Linked DNA regions of Oryzias latipes. The protein of the gene in region 2 interacts with the protein of the main gene of each other region in a biochemical or structural test. Links are inferred from orthologs where the notes say so. Each region holds a gene or a part of one and is shown on either strand. Other genes may lie near its edges.

Region 1 (3,086 bases), on a different chromosome or scaffold from region 2:
GCTCACAGCTAAGATGTTTTTTTTCTCTGTCTGAGCAGGAGGAAGGTGCCAACCCACCCCGGCGTGCATTGTTCGTCTCTTACCGGGTTTCTCTTGAGAGGAAAAACACTTGGACATAAACTCTGAGATGTTTTCTTGACTCCTGTGGGAGAAAAAAAACACACAGAGAGCAGCTGTTTACTTCCACCTGAACACAGATCAGTTGACATCTGGGACGCCCCGCGTGAAGCGGCGCCGGCGCTCCACCTGATCTTGGAGTCTCTGACGTAGACGGGGTCTTGGAGCTTGTCCTCCCAAGGCAGACGTCCGCACAGCCACTGAACCATGCAGTAGGACAGGATCTCCAAGTCGCCCCGCCTGCAAGGAGCTGCAGACGAACCAAGACGTGAGGAGCTGAACCATGAGCACGAGTAACAAGATTCTGAGCTAGGCCTGTACAATAAATCGCAAATTTGTCGTTATTGCGATGTCCATAACGCAAAATACGGCGAAAATCACAATAAATGCCGAACCTTTAATCTGATGGCAGCTTGAAGTGTTTAATGAGTTGAATAAATCCATTTATGCGTTTGACCAATCAGACGGAGCCTTCATGTTAGATGTTTGCCTCTTATGTAGACGAGGGTCATTTGGAGTGTAAATTAAGGTATTTTGACTCTTATTCAAATTAAATTGTTGCATTTTCTGTTTTTGGTTGTTTTGGTATTTGTACATGCATCAAAAGTTATGTCATCATCGCAATGTTGATCATTAATGTCGTACATCGCGAGTTTTCCTCACATCGTGCAGCCCATTGTGAATGAGAGCTTTCCAAGAACCGGTTCGACTTTCTGCACTAACAATATTGACTGTCTTTGTTTCATTTCTGAGTTTAGAAAAACACTTTGACTGTGATTCCAGAAAATCTCAACAATCGGTTTTAACTCAAAATGTAAAACAGCAACAAAAAGTATAACTTTAGCATCAATCCTGTTTTTACATTTCGTGTTTTATATTTCTTTAACATAGAAATAAACTCTCTTTTTTCCACATTGTAGTTATATTTGGGCTTTTGGCAAAGGAGATGTTTACATCCAAAAAGGTCAGATTTTCTCCTCGGCCTGATCTTATTGTGTCTAAAATGATTGGATTCGCTCATTTCCACGGCTGGGTTTCATTCAGGATATGAGTTTAATCATATTACAGTCAGTAAGTGGATCTGAGTTTCAGAGCGGACTCGTACGCACCGACTCCTTTGTGGGCATCGATGCTGGTGAACTCTATGGTTCCATCGTGGCATTTCTTGGGATCCTCCTTGTACTCTTTCAGGACGCCATCAGGAGCGTATCTGTATGCCAGGCCGTAATCTACCAGATAAACCTGCACAGCCAGCAGAACCGGGAAACCAGATGAACCCGCTGTGATCAACGAGAAGAACGGACAACTTCCAGAACCACAAGTTCTTTTTGGACTCGAAATCTTTGCTCAGTCTAGATTCTTTCTGGCTTAAATAAGTGACACAGCTACAGTCCATCAACAGAAACAAAAAAACAAAACAGAGGACAATTAAGCATAGAATCCTGAGGGCTCATTTTTATAGTGTCATTTAAAAACAACACAAACAATCCATTATTAATCTCCAAATTAAATACCCGCGCCTGTTCCAATTGTGTTTGCTAAAAATAATACAAAAATAAAAAAACCTCTGCTGCTTTCTAATCTTTAGACACACACCTACACCCACACACAGCAGGTTAGAATAGAGTCTAATGAAGCGGAATGAGGGAGCTTCAACCAAAACCTTCATCCATCCCGGCTTCCAGCAGCAGAGCTGAAGGCCGGGGGTTTCCCCACATGAACTGACCTGGTTGGGGTCACTGTGGCTCAGCATGAGGTTGGACGCTTTGACGTCGGCGTGCACGTACTCATGCTCGTGGATGAACTCCAAAATGTCCAGCTGAAAACACACAGGAGAGTTCAACCACATCTCGTTTATTGTCTTGCTATAGACAAACAAACACTAGATGGCAGCAGAGATGCTGTAGCTGCAGCTGGAGCTGTCGTAGCTGCAGCTGGAGCTGTCGTAGCTGCAGCTGGAGCTGTCGTAGCTGCAGCAGAGATGCTGTAGCTGCAGCTGGAGCTGTCGTAGCTGCAGCTGGAGCTGTCGTAGCTGCAGCTGGAGCTGTTGTAGCTGCAGCAGAGATGCTGTAGCTGCGGCTGGAGCTGTCGTAGCTGCAGCTGGAGCTGTTGTAGCTGCAGCAGAGATGCTGTAGCTGCAGCTGGAGCTGTCGTAGCGTGTTCAAGTCTCGTTCAGGTTTCCCAGCGTCAGACTTCACAGAGAAGGAAACTGCTTCAAAGTTTTACATGTTTAATTCTACATGCTAAACAATTGGCATAATGCTTTAAAAGATCTTCATTCAAGGCTAACCGGGAAAACCGGAGTAGCTGGGTGAACGTAAAAAGAGAATACAAGTAATCGCTGTTTTTAAAGTTTGTTGTTCTCGTTTTTTAACCCTACCTGGAAGTTTTGGCAGATCCACAACTATTCAATTCAATTCAATTCAATTTTATTTGTATAGCCCAAAATCACAACAACAGTCGTCTCGATGGGCTTCGAAGTAAAACATGAAATCAAAAGGATCACGAATACAAAGAGTTCAATAGAAAAATACTAAAATGAACTAACAAACTGACTAAGCTATACTGGCATCCCTGCCCTTAGACCGCCCTTCGCGGTAAGGAAAAACTCCCAAAAAAACCGGATTCCGGAAAAAACGAAGAAACCTCAGGGGTGCCCACATGAAGGAGGGATCCTCCCCCAGGACGGACAGGCGATTTACCAGAAATCTTAGAGAAGAATTAACTTATCTAAATCTACAACTACATATATAAAAGTCCAGCAGACGAGCTTCATCCAGCCGTGGTTGTGGGGACAGTCAAAGGCGCGAGTCGAGCCGGAGACAGGAACCACAGCCACGTGTAGGAGCAGGAGCAGAGACGAGGTAAACGGTCAGGTACAGAGCAGAGACGAGCCAGAGATGAGCCAGAGGCAGGATCCACAGCCAGGTGTAGGAGCAGGAGCAGAGACGAGGTAAACGGTCAGGTAC
Region 2 (4,393 bases):
GCTGGAGCAGCAGCAGCTGGAGCAGCTGAAGCTGGAGCAGCAGCAGCTGGAGCAGCTAGAGCTTAAGCAGCTGAAGCTGGAGCAGCAGCAGCTGGAGCAGCTGAAGCTGGAGCAGCTAGACCTTAAGCAGCTGAAGCTGGAGCAGCAGCAGCTGGAGCAGCAGCAGCTGGAGCAGCTGAAGCTGGAGCAGCAGCAGCTGGAGCAGCTGAAGCTGGAGCAGCAGCAGCTGGAGCAGCAGAAGCTGGAGCAGCTGAAGCTGGAGCAGCTGAAGCTGGAGCTGCTGTTCTCCACTCTGGTAAATTCTGTCATCAGTTGTCAGATTTCTGGACGTTTGAGGTTTAAACTTTTGTTTGGGATGTTTCTAAATCCAAGCGGAGCCCCTCAGCAGTCAGATGTTTGTGACGTTGGAGGACGGACCTCACCTTGAAAGCGATCCTTTGCCCCGGCTGTGCAGGAGCGGCCAGCAGGGGCATGGAGCTGTAGTCCCGTGTGGGGGGGCCCCCGGCTCCATTCTGCAGACACACAAGCACCAGATTCAGACGTTTCCTCCGTCTGCAGCGTAAGAGAAAAGGGGCGGGGACTGACCTGGAGGAGCGGTGGCGTGTTGGTCGGGGAACGCGCCTGGAGGGGGGGCTCTTTGTCACTGTTCTGACCGCTGAGGCCCCGGCCTGCTGCCCCCCCAGCACCTCCACGCGCCCCCCTGCCGCCGCCGCGCCGTGACCAGAGGCCGTCCGCGTGTCTGTTAGGCTGCTGCGGCCGTCGGATGACCAGCTGGATCTCTTCCTCACTCCCAGCATCAGCAGGCTCCGCCCCTTTGTCCTGAGGGGGGGCTGCCTGGACCACATCTGTCTGTTTCAGCGCTGACGGAGCTTCTGGGCATTTGGGGGTGGGGGTACTTCCATCAGAGTCTGTTTCTGAGGACGATGAAGAGGGAGGCCGTGTGTTCTTCTGGGGGGGCTTGGTGTTTGGGGGCGTTTTGGAAGCAGCAGGGGTGGGGGGCGCCGTCCTTGCGGCAGTTCTTTTGGGGCAGTTGCTTTCCTCGCTGCTGGACTCTGTGGAGGAACTCTGCGTTTTGGCTGGGGCCTTCTTCTTGTTGCTTCCAGCTGATGGGGGGGCACTGGGCGGGTTTTTTCTGGGGGGGGCAGCAGGTGTAGGAGCAACAGTGTTACTTTTCTCCCCCTCCTTTTTCCTTTTCTTCTTGCTGCTCCTCCCCGGAGACGCCTCCCTCCTGTCAACCGTCTCCTGCTTGCTCCTTCCGGCCTCCCCCTCCTCTCGTTTCTTCTTCTTCTTCTTCTTCTTCTTCTTCTTGTTTTCAGCCAGCTGCCCCTCCTCCCCCCCGTCTCTCCGTCTCTTTTTGCTTTTGACTCCTTCTGCGTCTGCGCAGCTGCTGCAGCCGTTCAGCGCAGCCACACAGTCCACATTCACCCTGCAGAACAAGAAACATTTCTGCATGAAACGCATCCAGAACCGACCCGTTCTACAATGTAAACCCCCCCCCCCAAACCCACGCTGAAGAGAGCGTTCATAGTCAGAGGAAGAAGAAAGGCTCGAGCTTCATCTCAGACCGCACAGGCCTCAGGCAGTAATAGAAAAATGGCCTCCGTGGTGTCTGTGTGTACATTTCCCCAAACTGCATCTTGATCAACCAAGGCCCATTAGAACCATTGACTGATTCTTTAGAATTGGACCGAGCCAGTGTGACGTCATCCATTGAAAACGACTTCCAGCTCCAACCAAATGAAGTCAGTGCAGTCCCCATTCTTGTTGTTGCTAAACGAACACCGCCATGTTGGAGCCAGACAACATCAAGAAGCAGTGATTGGTCAGTCCGAGTCAATGTTTCTATGGCAACCAGTATCACCAATCAGGAGTGAGCTTGTTAGAGGTCCACACCCCTTCCACTTGAGAGCGGGCTCTGGAAAACGTGTCAATCAAATGTTTTGACCATTTGATGTGGGTGGCAAGGAGGCTCCGCCTACCTTTGTTGAAGCATCTGATTGGTCAGTTTAGAACTTGATTTACAGAAAAATATATCATGAATAAAAGAGGATTAACAAAAACATGTTTAAATAAAAGTATCAGATCCAGAATGTTTTTACTGACCAATAGAATGAATGACTAACAGCTGTTTATTTCTCAAGTCTGTGGGATTTTAGTTTCTGAGAGCCACTTCCTGTTTGGAATGCCAGGGGGCGGGGCCACTCAGTCCAGTTCTCATATTCAGTCAATGGTTCTGATCCTCCACCTGCAGACCGACAGATCCATGAAGGTCTTTGTTTTCCTGGTCTGAGCTGGAATCTGGGTCAGAACTGGACGGACGGATGGATCTGATGTTGCTGCTGTTTTGGTTGCACCGCTAACGTTGGGTTGGGGCTGTAAGCTAGTGGGAGAGAGTGTAAACTAGGGGATGATGGGACATCAGTGGAGGGTTACTTCTGCGCCACAGTCCCGCCCACAAGTCAGAGGTGAATTTCTGATGAACTTTTTGAAATAATTTGTCTAAAAACATTAAGATCACTGGGAACACTTTGAAAACAGACTAAAATGATCGGATTGGGCCTTAAGTCCTTCAGGTCCGGATATCTGTGGTGTCAGCCTGCAGGCTCGAACCGTTTCGGAAACGACACCGGCACATCAGGACCCCGCTGTGTGTGGGATGCGCGCGCACCTGACGCTGTCGTTGTCGCGCACGACGAAGATGCTCTCCGTGTGCGGAAGGTAGCAGTCCTCCACGAACAGGCTGAGGACGCTCCCGCGGCTGAACTCGAACTTCTGCCGGATCAGACCCTCCAGGTCCGCCACCACGCGACACGCGTTCCGGTCCACGAGCAGCCAGCACATGCGGCACCCCGCCACGGCCGGAGGGGGGTAGTCAAAGAGCAGCCGCAGGCGGATCAAGCTGTCTCCGAGCGCCGCCATGACACCCTCCGCGACAACACGCCGCCCCGCGCATGCGCAGAGGATAAAGCGCTGCTTTTGTCACGACACTGCCCTCTGCCGGTCCGGAGTGTATCCCATCTGCCTTTTCACTCGTTTAAAATTAAAACAGCATCCCATAATAATTCACGGGGCTCTTTAGGGAGATTTACAAGGATTTTTAACTGTTCTGTTCAGAGTTTGGACAAGGAGGCCTGGATCTCAATAATTCTTCATCCAGGTCAAAGACCCACTCAGGATAAAATCGTGTTGTTGTTTTTTTAGCATGTTCTTTTAGCCTTTCTCTCATGATGGAGGGCATCATGAGGATCACCAGGATTCAATCGTGGCAAATCAGGCGCAGATTTCTAAAATGCTGTTTGAAAACATTTGGTCCCTCCTTTGTTCAGACTCTTGTGATAGTGGAATTGTCCAAGGGGTTTTGGATTGATGAAGCACAAAGAGTTATTTTCACTGAAAGTAAGGAGCCAAGCCTTAAGCCTAGCTTCTGAAACTATACATAAACCCACACCATGATCCTCCCACCACCAAACCTTACTGTTAGCACAATGTAGACAGACAGAGACACTTTACAGCACTAGGTGATGGATAACTGACTGCAGATGGTTGCCGTGGAAACCATGGTCCGTGACCTCAGTGACCTTCGGGGAATTTTGGAATGAAAAAAAAAATCTCACAATGAGAAAAATTCTTTTAAAATTTTGATGTTTCAGAAACTTAGGATCTTCTTTTTTTCTGTCTGTTTTCTTGTTTTTAAAAAACTCAAAAAATCGGAGTCAGCCGATCAGCTGACTCCTGGGCGTGGTCATGTGACTTTTGGTCACGTGACTCGTCATCGGTGAAGTCCCTCTCCGCCAGTTTGCAGCAAAAATGTGCGGCTCCGTGGTGCTTTTCTGGCTCTGCGCGTCCGCTGTGCTCGTCCGTGATGGTGAGTTCCGTGGGTCGAGCAGAACTTCTTCATCACTTCTTCTCCCGCCTCCAGATCCTTTCATCTCTGGACTTGTCCTCGCTTCAGTAAATCCGATGACTGTCAAACGAAAGTAACCTCGGTTTCTGTCGGTGTGCGCATGCTCGTCAGGGTATTTGCTTCTCACCTGTCTGTCCGCAGGGCTGTGCGCGCCCCCGCCACCCAAAGAGGCGTGGAACTACGTGGAGGTGAGGGACGGGGCCCACATGTTCTGGTGGCTCTATCACGCCGACGCTGGGTTCCGGGAGCTCCCGCTGGTCATGTGGCTGCAGGTGCGTGCGTGTGCGTGCGTGTCTGAAGCTGACACGAGCAGAGATGACCTGAGCTCAAGGGTCTTGATCTGTGGGCTGAAGCTGTTCTGCTGGTGATGAAGATGAGAGGAGGGAAACATTTCCATCAGCACTTTGAATCTACAAGGAAGTGCATGAACTAAAATAGAGAAAAGTAGAATCCATGGAGGATCTATTGTCCAGGTTCTGCAGTCTGACT

The links.
Region 1: of the proteins of coil (region 2) and vrk1, one has a biochemical effect on the other in vitro, tested with the Homo sapiens proteins (2 studies listed by BioGRID and IntAct, with this or other methods). The link is inferred for Oryzias latipes from reciprocal best matches to the Homo sapiens genes COIL and VRK1.

What each region holds. Positions count from the first base shown.
Region 1 is NC_019880.2:3,855,030-3,858,115, forward strand, and holds part of vrk1 (serine/threonine-protein kinase VRK1), read right to left. Parts: intron 1,937-3,086; coding exon 1,844-1,936; intron 1,360-1,843; coding exon 1,227-1,359; intron 368-1,226; coding exon 247-367; intron 143-246; coding exon 84-142; intron 1-83. UniProt on the Homo sapiens protein: Serine/threonine kinase involved in the regulation of key cellular processes including the cell cycle, nuclear condensation, transcription regulation, and DNA damage response.
Region 2 is NC_019866.2:24,978,606-24,982,998, reverse strand, and holds the start of coil (coilin), read right to left. Parts: upstream 3,060-4,393; 5' UTR 2,920-3,059; coding exon 2,669-2,919; intron 1,427-2,668; coding exon 586-1,426; intron 513-585; coding exon 423-512; intron 1-422. Other genes in the region: scpep1 (retinoid-inducible serine carboxypeptidase), read left to right, coding at 3,808-3,865, 4,046-4,176. UniProt on the Homo sapiens protein: Component of nuclear coiled bodies, also known as Cajal bodies or CBs, which are involved in the modification and assembly of nucleoplasmic snRNPs.